2 linked regions of the Mus musculus genome follow. The protein of the gene in region 1 purifies or fractionates together with the protein of each later gene. This does not show direct contact. Links are inferred from orthologs where the notes say so. Each region holds a gene or a part of one and is shown on either strand. Other genes may lie near its edges.

Region 1 (4,447 bases):
CTGGCTTCAAAACAAAGGAGAGTCCAACTTTTAGGCCTTGGAATCCAATTGTTAAATTAACAATGCTTTCATTAAGTAAGCAATGAAATAACGCGACAGAGTTATTTTTCATCAATGCTGAATTTTCTCCTTTGCAAATTAGACATACAATAAAAACTGTAAGGACACTGGAGTTCAATCAAGGAGTGTGTAAAAAGCACAGGGAATTGGTAGGCATCTGAGCTAAGCCTGCCAGTCTATTAGCAATAAAGCAATCTATATCTTTTAAAGTGTTTCTGCCTGTGTGAAATTTCAGCAGACACCTCTCACATTGAACTTATTCATGCAGCTAAACCCAGCCTTCCCTAGGCTGACTTTAAGAATTACGTACCCTGAAAGGATCTCCCCTTAGGCGGAGAGTTTCTAATTAAATAGCTTTTAGTGTAAAATAAACTCTCTGCTCTGTATAAATATGCAATTTCAGCTAATTTAAATGTTATTTCATGTTTGTTTTAAGGTCTGACTATAATCTAACTGGCCACAGAGCTCGTGGACCAGATTGTTAAAGCCAATATTTCCTAACATAAACAAATTCTGTAGATACTCTGCACAGTTTACATTGTTAAAACCAATCTCCACTGCTTTAATATATCCTCTATTGCGCTGCCTTAGAAAAATGAAGTGATTCTGAGGTTATTTCACTATTTTAAAACAGCATTTTCCTGCTTCAAAATAATCTTGACACGTGTAATTAAGAAACTGTCAGACTATTATTAATTTTTAATTTAAAACCCAAATGAAATAATTACAGGAATCAATCAATAAGGCACCTATTCAAATTACAGAGCAATTACATAAATACTCAAAATTAATACTTTAGGCCAGTTCTTGAAGAATTCAGTCTATAACTCGTGAAGACATCAAACAGTGCAAGCTTGTGACATGAGAACGAAGGAAAGGTTTCCCCTAAAATAGACTAAAATGAGATTATTTCAGATGGCAGAGCACAGTTCCCCTTCCCCCAGCCATGCCCAATGCTCTCAAGCTGCAACTCTTTTTCTAGAAGTTATTTCCACCAGACACATATTTCAGGAAAAGAAAGAAAGAAAGAAAGAAAGAAAGAAAGAAAGGAAGGAAGGAAGGAAGGAAGGAAGAAAGAAAGAAAGAAAGAAAGAAAGAAAGAAAGAAAGAAAGAAAGAAAAGAGAAGCAAGCTAGCTAACCAGCCTGCCGGCCTCATCCAAGTTCTGCACAAAATCATTTAGAAAGGGGAGTGGGGGGTTAATCACTTGAATGTTCAGCAGAGTGCACGTACTGGGCTGTGAAAAGCTGTAATTGAGGAGGAGAAGGAGAGGAAAAGAAGGGCACGAGGTGTTTTTGGAACTAATAATACCAGCGGGGCTAATGGCACTGCCCCTGTATTTGCACAGCGGCCGGCCCTCCATACCTCGGACTAAAGAGTTCTTTTACTTGAGGACGACAGTCCATCATTTCAAACTGAAGTGGCAGCTGGAAAATGTGGAACAGCTGGCACAGAGCTGGGAGAAAATGTTTTACATAAATATATGTACATATAAACTGGCAGAGGGCCATGAGCACTGTACCCAAGGCCAGAATCTACAACCAAGTTGGGGGAGGAGAAAGGGTAAACGCGGTGCAGGAAACTTCCCTAAGTGGTCTTTACACACACACAGCCAAGAAAGCCTGGGGGGAGGGGGGGTATGGCTTGGTACTCAAAAAGGTGCACTCCGGGACACAGGCACAAAGTTCACAGAAGGATACTAAGTTCATCAAAGGATAATAAGCAAAGGCCGGGCCGAGTGTGAGGGCATGTGGCCATCTGCTGAAAAGTCGCTTCACCAACTATTCAAATGTATGATCAATATTAACTCTGCCACATCCTCGGGGTCCCACTGCAACTCCAGAAAGTTAAGTGTCCCCAGCAGAGTAGAGTGATCCGTACCCAACTCTGCTCTGTGCAAATTCGGCCTCTTGGTTACCGCAAGGGCCACGGCTACTTTTCTTTCTTTCTCTTTTCTTTCTTTCTGCTCTACCTCTGGAAAGGAAGAGACAGAGTTCCAAATCACGCACAGATGGCACAACTTTCACTTTTCCTCTCCCACCGCGGAGGCGCGCCCTCCATCCGCTCACCCCGCACCCCCACCCTCAGAAGTGAAGGCGGGACCCTGGAGAGCGGGGCAGCGGCGGCTCGGCGCATCCCCAGGCGCTGCGCGCAAGCCAAGCTGCGGCTTGCGGGGGCGCGAGGACCAGCCGCAGCTCCGGACTCCCGGAGCTCTGCGCAGCACTTGGCGAGAAGTAGGCACGGACGCCGCCGCTGCAAACTTGGTCCGCGCGCCCTGGGGCAGGAGCTCTGCAGTCCGGAGAGCCGAGACCCGATCCCCGAGAGCGCGGGAAGGCGCGAGCGCACACAAGCCGCTCCGACGCCGCCGGGAAGCTCGACAGGGAGGGCTGCGGGGCCCGCAAAACAAAGAACTTCAGGCGGGACGTACCTGCGGCTTTGGCTGTCAGGTCCCAAATCCACAGACCTGCGCCGGCGGAGCGGCAGGCGGACTCGGGCTACCGTGGATGGCCTGACTGATCCCAGCGTGCGGCCCCGGCGGGCATGGTGTGGCGTGGGCCGGCGACGGGGCGAGCGGGCGAGGAGGGGAGCGGCGGGCGGGCGGACGAGTGTGCGGGCGCCGGCGGTGCGGCCCGGTCCGCTCCCTCCCGCCGCTGCAGCCCGCGCATCAGTTTCAGGGATCCTGTAATCTGATCCCTCTGAGTCACCGGCCCTGAGTGACAGTTCTGATTTGGTTCAACCGCGGGTGGGAGGAGAAAGAGAAAGAAAGGAGCCCCCCGACCGTCAAGTCGACTTTTCAACGACTAAGGGCCCGTCCAGGCCGAGCGCCCCGGTTGCAAAAGTTGAGCTCCGCCGCGCGCGCCCTTCGCGCTCCCCTCCGCGCGCTCCTGCGCTCCTCCTCCTCCCCGCCCTCCTTCCCCAAGTTTTCACAGATGTGGTCAGACTCTGCTCTCCTTCCCGGCTCCTTCTTCCCTCGCGCGCCCCCACCCCCGCCCCGTCCCTCTAATTTCCGCCACTCGGAGGAGCGCTGGGGGGGACGCGCCGAGCCGCGGGACGACGCCGCCGCCGCCGCCGCCGCCGCCGCCGCAGGGGGCGAAGTTGGTTTAAAAACTTGGGAAGACTGCTCGCCTTACTTTGCTTTCCCGCTCCTTTCCAGGCCGCGCCCGGCGGGGTCCCGCTCCGCGCGCGCGGATCCCAGGGCGCTGCGCTGAGGGGCGGCACTGAGGCCGCGCGTCGGGCCGGGCAGGGCTGGCGCGGGCAGCCGGGAGCCACGCGCTCCACCGCCTCCGCCCCTCCCGGGTCCTCACACAGACACATCCAGGCCTGCTCCTCCTCTTCCCCCTCCTTGACCCCGCGCCCGCGCGGCGCGCCAGGCCCCACCCACCCGGCAGGAGGAAGGGGCCCGCGGGTGATGTCACCCGAGCCCTCCAGGCCTGCGCTCCCGCGCAGCCGAGCAGCCGGGGCTCGCGCGCTGCCGGGCGCTTCGCCCATGCCGCCTCTCTTCGCCCCCCCCCCCCCCAACTCCGCTCTCGGGCTGGACTCCCCTTCCTTCTCTAGAGACCTCTCAGATCGCCACTGCCCCACCCCCGCACACCTCCTGGTACTTTTCCCTAGGCCAAGCCTGAAACTTCCTCTCGCGGGATGATGCTTTTGAAAGTTGAAGACTTTCCTCCCCGTTGCGTTAAACTCCGTTTGGGACGTCTCGCCGTACAGCCTACTGTCCCCGTGGGCCACTTTGCAAAGAACACAAAGACCCGAGCTGGGAACCGGGACTTGAGCTGAGAACCCTGACTTGCACGGGGTTCTTTTCCTTAAGATGCAGAGTGCCTGTCCTTGGTTTCTTTTAAAAGACCCATGTTACTTCAACGGGCCAGTGCACTCATCTCTCTCTCCCCATCCAGGTACTCACCCCAACCTGTTACTTGAAAGGGAGGATTTCAAGGGGGTGGAAGAAAGAAGAAAACCCAAGAGACATTCCAGAATACCGGAGTAAGCAGTTGGCCCACCAGGAGTGCCTTGGTGCTCAGGGTGCTCTGTGGCAGCCGTCTTGAAGGCAGAGTGGGTGGATGAATAGCTATAATAATTTGAAGAACATTTTGAAATTCACGTGCTAAACTGGGGAAAATTTTTAACGGAATTGACAGTGTATTCGTTATTTGTTTCTGGTGACTTGTTGCTTATGACAAAGACAAAAGCAGAGAGTGACTTAAGCTTTCAGTGTGGGGCTCCAGACACTTCTTAGCCATTTTTAAGCTTTCTCTCCGCTACAACACTCTGTAAGGCAAAGAGTGAAACATCCTTCACTCATCTCGGAGTGCAGGAATATCAACAGAGGTAGCCCCAACCCTCCCCTCAGTAACTGGCCCCAGGCCCCAGAGTATTCCCTCAGC
Region 2 (3,647 bases), on another chromosome or scaffold:
AACTTTATCCTTTTTCATCAAGGTGGAAGAGTAGCCTATAATTACGAAGGCCCAAATAACAACAGCTCCCATCAGCACACTTCTAGAAGGGAGTCCAACCCTGGAACTACACATTTGTATGATCCTGTGGGGAGAAGCAGACATTTGCCCTTTAGGGAAATGATTTTGGCTTTGGTACTAGAACCAGTCTACAATTCCCACTTCCTAGAAAAGAAACCACAATCAAGGCCAGGCTTCAGACTGCTCTATGAATGTGGTCACCCTCGCGCCAACAATGCTCCTCCACTGAAGTGGGTCCAGTCACCTTGATGGTGTTGTCTCGAAGGCCGCTGACTATCTTCTGGTCGTCGTACTGTAAACAGTAAACCCCTTTACTTGTTTCACTCCGGCAGTGGATTCTCTGTAAACTATGTCGCCCACATCTCCAATTGGACTCTATTGTCTAAAGAGGAGGATTCAAAGAAGCAGTTAATTAGCAAAGAGGCAAACCAACAACTCAGTGTGTGTGAGACTCTATGGCCTGGTTCTCAGCCTGTGGGTCTACGGCCCCCTGGGGCCTGATCAACCCTTTCACAGGGGTTGCCTAAGACCACTGGAAAACAGACATTTACATTATAATTCACAACAGTAGCAAAATTACAGTTAGGATAATGTTTTATGGTTGGGGGTCACCACAGCACAAGGGCTGCAAACAATAATTAGGAAGGTTGAGAACCACTGCTCTATGGGCTACATACAACTAAAACACTAACAGGTGGGTACCAAGTCGAGCTGCACACCCGCCCAGTGGCGTCTCAGACACATCACACAGTACTCATGCCCGCTGATGACCTTGCTTGAAAGCTCATCAGCGAAGGAGTACAGACATCACTCTGCCATTTTAGGAAAGCTGCAATCCTTCTCCACAAAGGTTTTAAAGCTGTACAAAAATTGCCTAGGAATTTTCTACACTTTATCAACCTTATTCTAGTAAAGATATGATTGTAACTTACACTGAAAAGTTTAATGGGTTTTCTATAGTGCTGTGACTTAAGCATACTCATGATTCCCTACCACTTGGCAAATGTCTGGAAACATTGATTCTTACCTCAATGTCTTGTATGATTTTAGGATAAAGCGCTCTATAAAAGGAGTTGGGAGGAGCGTTCTCATCAGGAGGTTTGTTTTTGAATAAGTACTGTCCCCTACAAAACAAATATTTACCAATGAGAAGGTCATGAATCCACTTAGAAGCAGCTTTATACTTTTTCAAAGTGTTTCAGCTACCACCACACAGAACTTCCATTAACTGGCCTGGCAAGGCATGAGGGTCAGGTGATTTTGGGAGTCCTGTGTCAAATGTTAACCTGGAATCTAAGGAACTGGACCAACATTGACTCCAGTGCAGAGCCTCAGAGTACCAAGCCCTTTGGGATGCTTCAGACTGATAGTGTGCTCAGAATCCGTCTACTGGTCTGTTAGGCTTCTATACATTTACTGACTTTATAATTTGACAATAATGGCGACTCTTCTGGTTAATAAGAACTATTCCCTTCTCTCCCTTGGGGCTGTGGCTTGAACCCAGAGCAGCGTGCGCAACGGGTACAGTAGCTACTCTACCGGTGTGCTGCCGTTGAGCTGCACAAACCCGAGTCAAGCTGTACCAGTGGCAGAGGACACCTAGCATGCTGGGTCACAGCAATGATTCTGTCATGATCGAGCTGTGCTATTTATCACAGGGTAAGGCGTGTGTGCTGGGCGGCTGCTTGGTCACCAGGGCTATTCCTGGTCACTCTGGGAGTCTTCCAGAAGAGCCAATTCAGTCCATACAACAGAAACAGAGGACTGCATGCATGTCGAACGGCAGGGAGGGAAGAGGTGAGGAGAAAGGCTAAGCACACCGTGCCATTATATGTGAGGCAGGAAGCTCAGAGGTGTGTTCCTATATGCACACACAGATGCATTTCCTGACTTTGATTCCAGCATGCAGCATGATAGCATCTCCTTCCTTCTGACAGCACATTTCTGAACGCTCACATCCCAAGCTAGATTGATACCAAAAAAAGAAAGAAGGAAAGAAGGAAAGAAAGGGAGAAAGGGAGAAAGAAAAAAAGGTAACTGGCAATCACTTCCTGCTGGGTAAAAAATTTAATTCCTTATCCTGAAGTTAAGAACCCACCGAACACGGTGTGGAAGCTACTAAAGCCCACTATGGGTGTGCTAACTGCTGTTCTCACTGGCATCGTGCCCTGCAAAGTGGAGACAGGCAGAAATGCCTCTGAGTGTAATCCTGGCACCAGAGAAATCATGTTTTCTCTGGGCCAGTCATCCACTTGTGCCTCTATAGCTCCATTACAATGTAATTAATTGTTCAATGTCTCCAGGAGAGCTTCTCCCGTGCCCTCTCCCTATTATACACCTTGAAAATTAGCTGAGAAAATCTCTATCAGGAAGGCAGCTGGCTCTGATGGCTAGCTTAACAGAGAAAAGAAAATTCACACTGGGGAAGTGAAAAGAACAGGTTTTTTTGTTTGTTTGTTTTGAAAGGACTATGAAATAGGATACACCAACATAAAGAGCAAGTAAACCACTTTGAGAAATAATTCTGGATTAATGGCCTCCGTCTCTGAACAGTTTGATTATATAAACACTTTGCATGCAGATGAGATTTCTGTTGTTTTGCAGTGCCCACCATTCCTGAGATTCTTGTCTTCCTCTGAGTCTTTGTCATTACTATAAGGGTACTCTAGGATTTCCCTCACATCCAGTAATAGTTTCTCTGTATCCTCAGATAACAGGACTCAAATGACTCTCTAATCTTGTTTTCTAGCCCACTGCTTTTCCTATGCCTTACAAACATACATCTCCAAATCAAAGATGCTAGAGAGACTAGATATCGAGAACCAGCTTCTTAGTCTCTATCTGTTTTAAGTGATACTCTTTTCTGGTGTCTGTTCTTTGACAACAGGGACCACTTCTAGGAGAAACGCCTGGTACCTAGGAGAATGTGAGTGCATGATAAACGTGAAATATTAAATTTAGAATGTTATCATAAAATGTGATCTCCTGATTAAGAAAATGGACTTTTCCCAAGTGGTCTTTTATCATCCTTTTAAGAGTTACCATTACTGAGCAGAAAGTATTATCTACTGTTATTTAAGAGAGAAAACTGCAAAGTTCATGTCCTAGGGGCAAACTGTCAAATCCATCTGGGTATGAAATATAATAGCAAAATGGAAGTTAAATCTTGGTGACTCAAATTGTTCACGCCTTTGATCCCAGCACCAGGAGGCAGGGGCAAGAGAGACTTTCAGAGTTTGAGGCCAGCTTGGTCTACAGAGTGAATTCTAAGACAGCCAGGGCTATACAGAAAGATCCTGTCTTAGAGAGAGGGAGAAGGAGAGGGAGCGGAGGAGGAGGAGGAGGAGGAGGAGGAGGAGGAGGAGGAGGAGGAGGAGGAGGAGGAGAACAACAACAAGAACAAGGAGGAGAGGGTGGAAATAGGGAATTGACCCTAAATTCTTCCTTCTGAGTAAGGGAGAATCCCTGTACTCAGAAGATGAGGCTGGAGGCTTGAGAGCAAGCTGGGCTACACAGCAAGGCCCTCTCTCAACACCACTATCACCCTGAACAGAAAGACAATAAAAGAAATGGGAGGGAGGTACACC

What was found. The genes of interacting proteins can lie anywhere in the genome.
Region 2: the proteins of Gli3 (region 1) and Btrc purify together in Homo sapiens (affinity purification with western blotting, with the first as the bait; 3 studies listed by BioGRID). This does not show direct contact. The link is inferred for Mus musculus from reciprocal best matches to the Homo sapiens genes GLI3 and BTRC.

What each region holds. Positions count from the first base shown.
Region 1 is NC_000079.6:15,462,152-15,466,598, reverse strand, and holds the start of Gli3 (transcriptional activator GLI3), read right to left. Parts: upstream 2,877-4,447; 5' UTR 2,488-2,876; exon of another isoform or gene 1,981-2,487; intron 1-1,980. UniProt on the Homo sapiens protein: Has a dual function as a transcriptional activator and a repressor of the sonic hedgehog (Shh) pathway, and plays a role in limb development.
Region 2 is NC_000085.6:45,510,182-45,513,828, reverse strand, and holds part of Btrc (F-box/WD repeat-containing protein 1A), read right to left. Parts: intron 1,185-3,647; coding exon 1,088-1,184; intron 443-1,087; coding exon 305-442; intron 1-304. UniProt on the Homo sapiens protein: Substrate recognition component of a SCF (SKP1-CUL1-F-box protein) E3 ubiquitin-protein ligase complex which mediates the ubiquitination and subsequent proteasomal degradation of target proteins. Recognizes and binds to phosphorylated target proteins.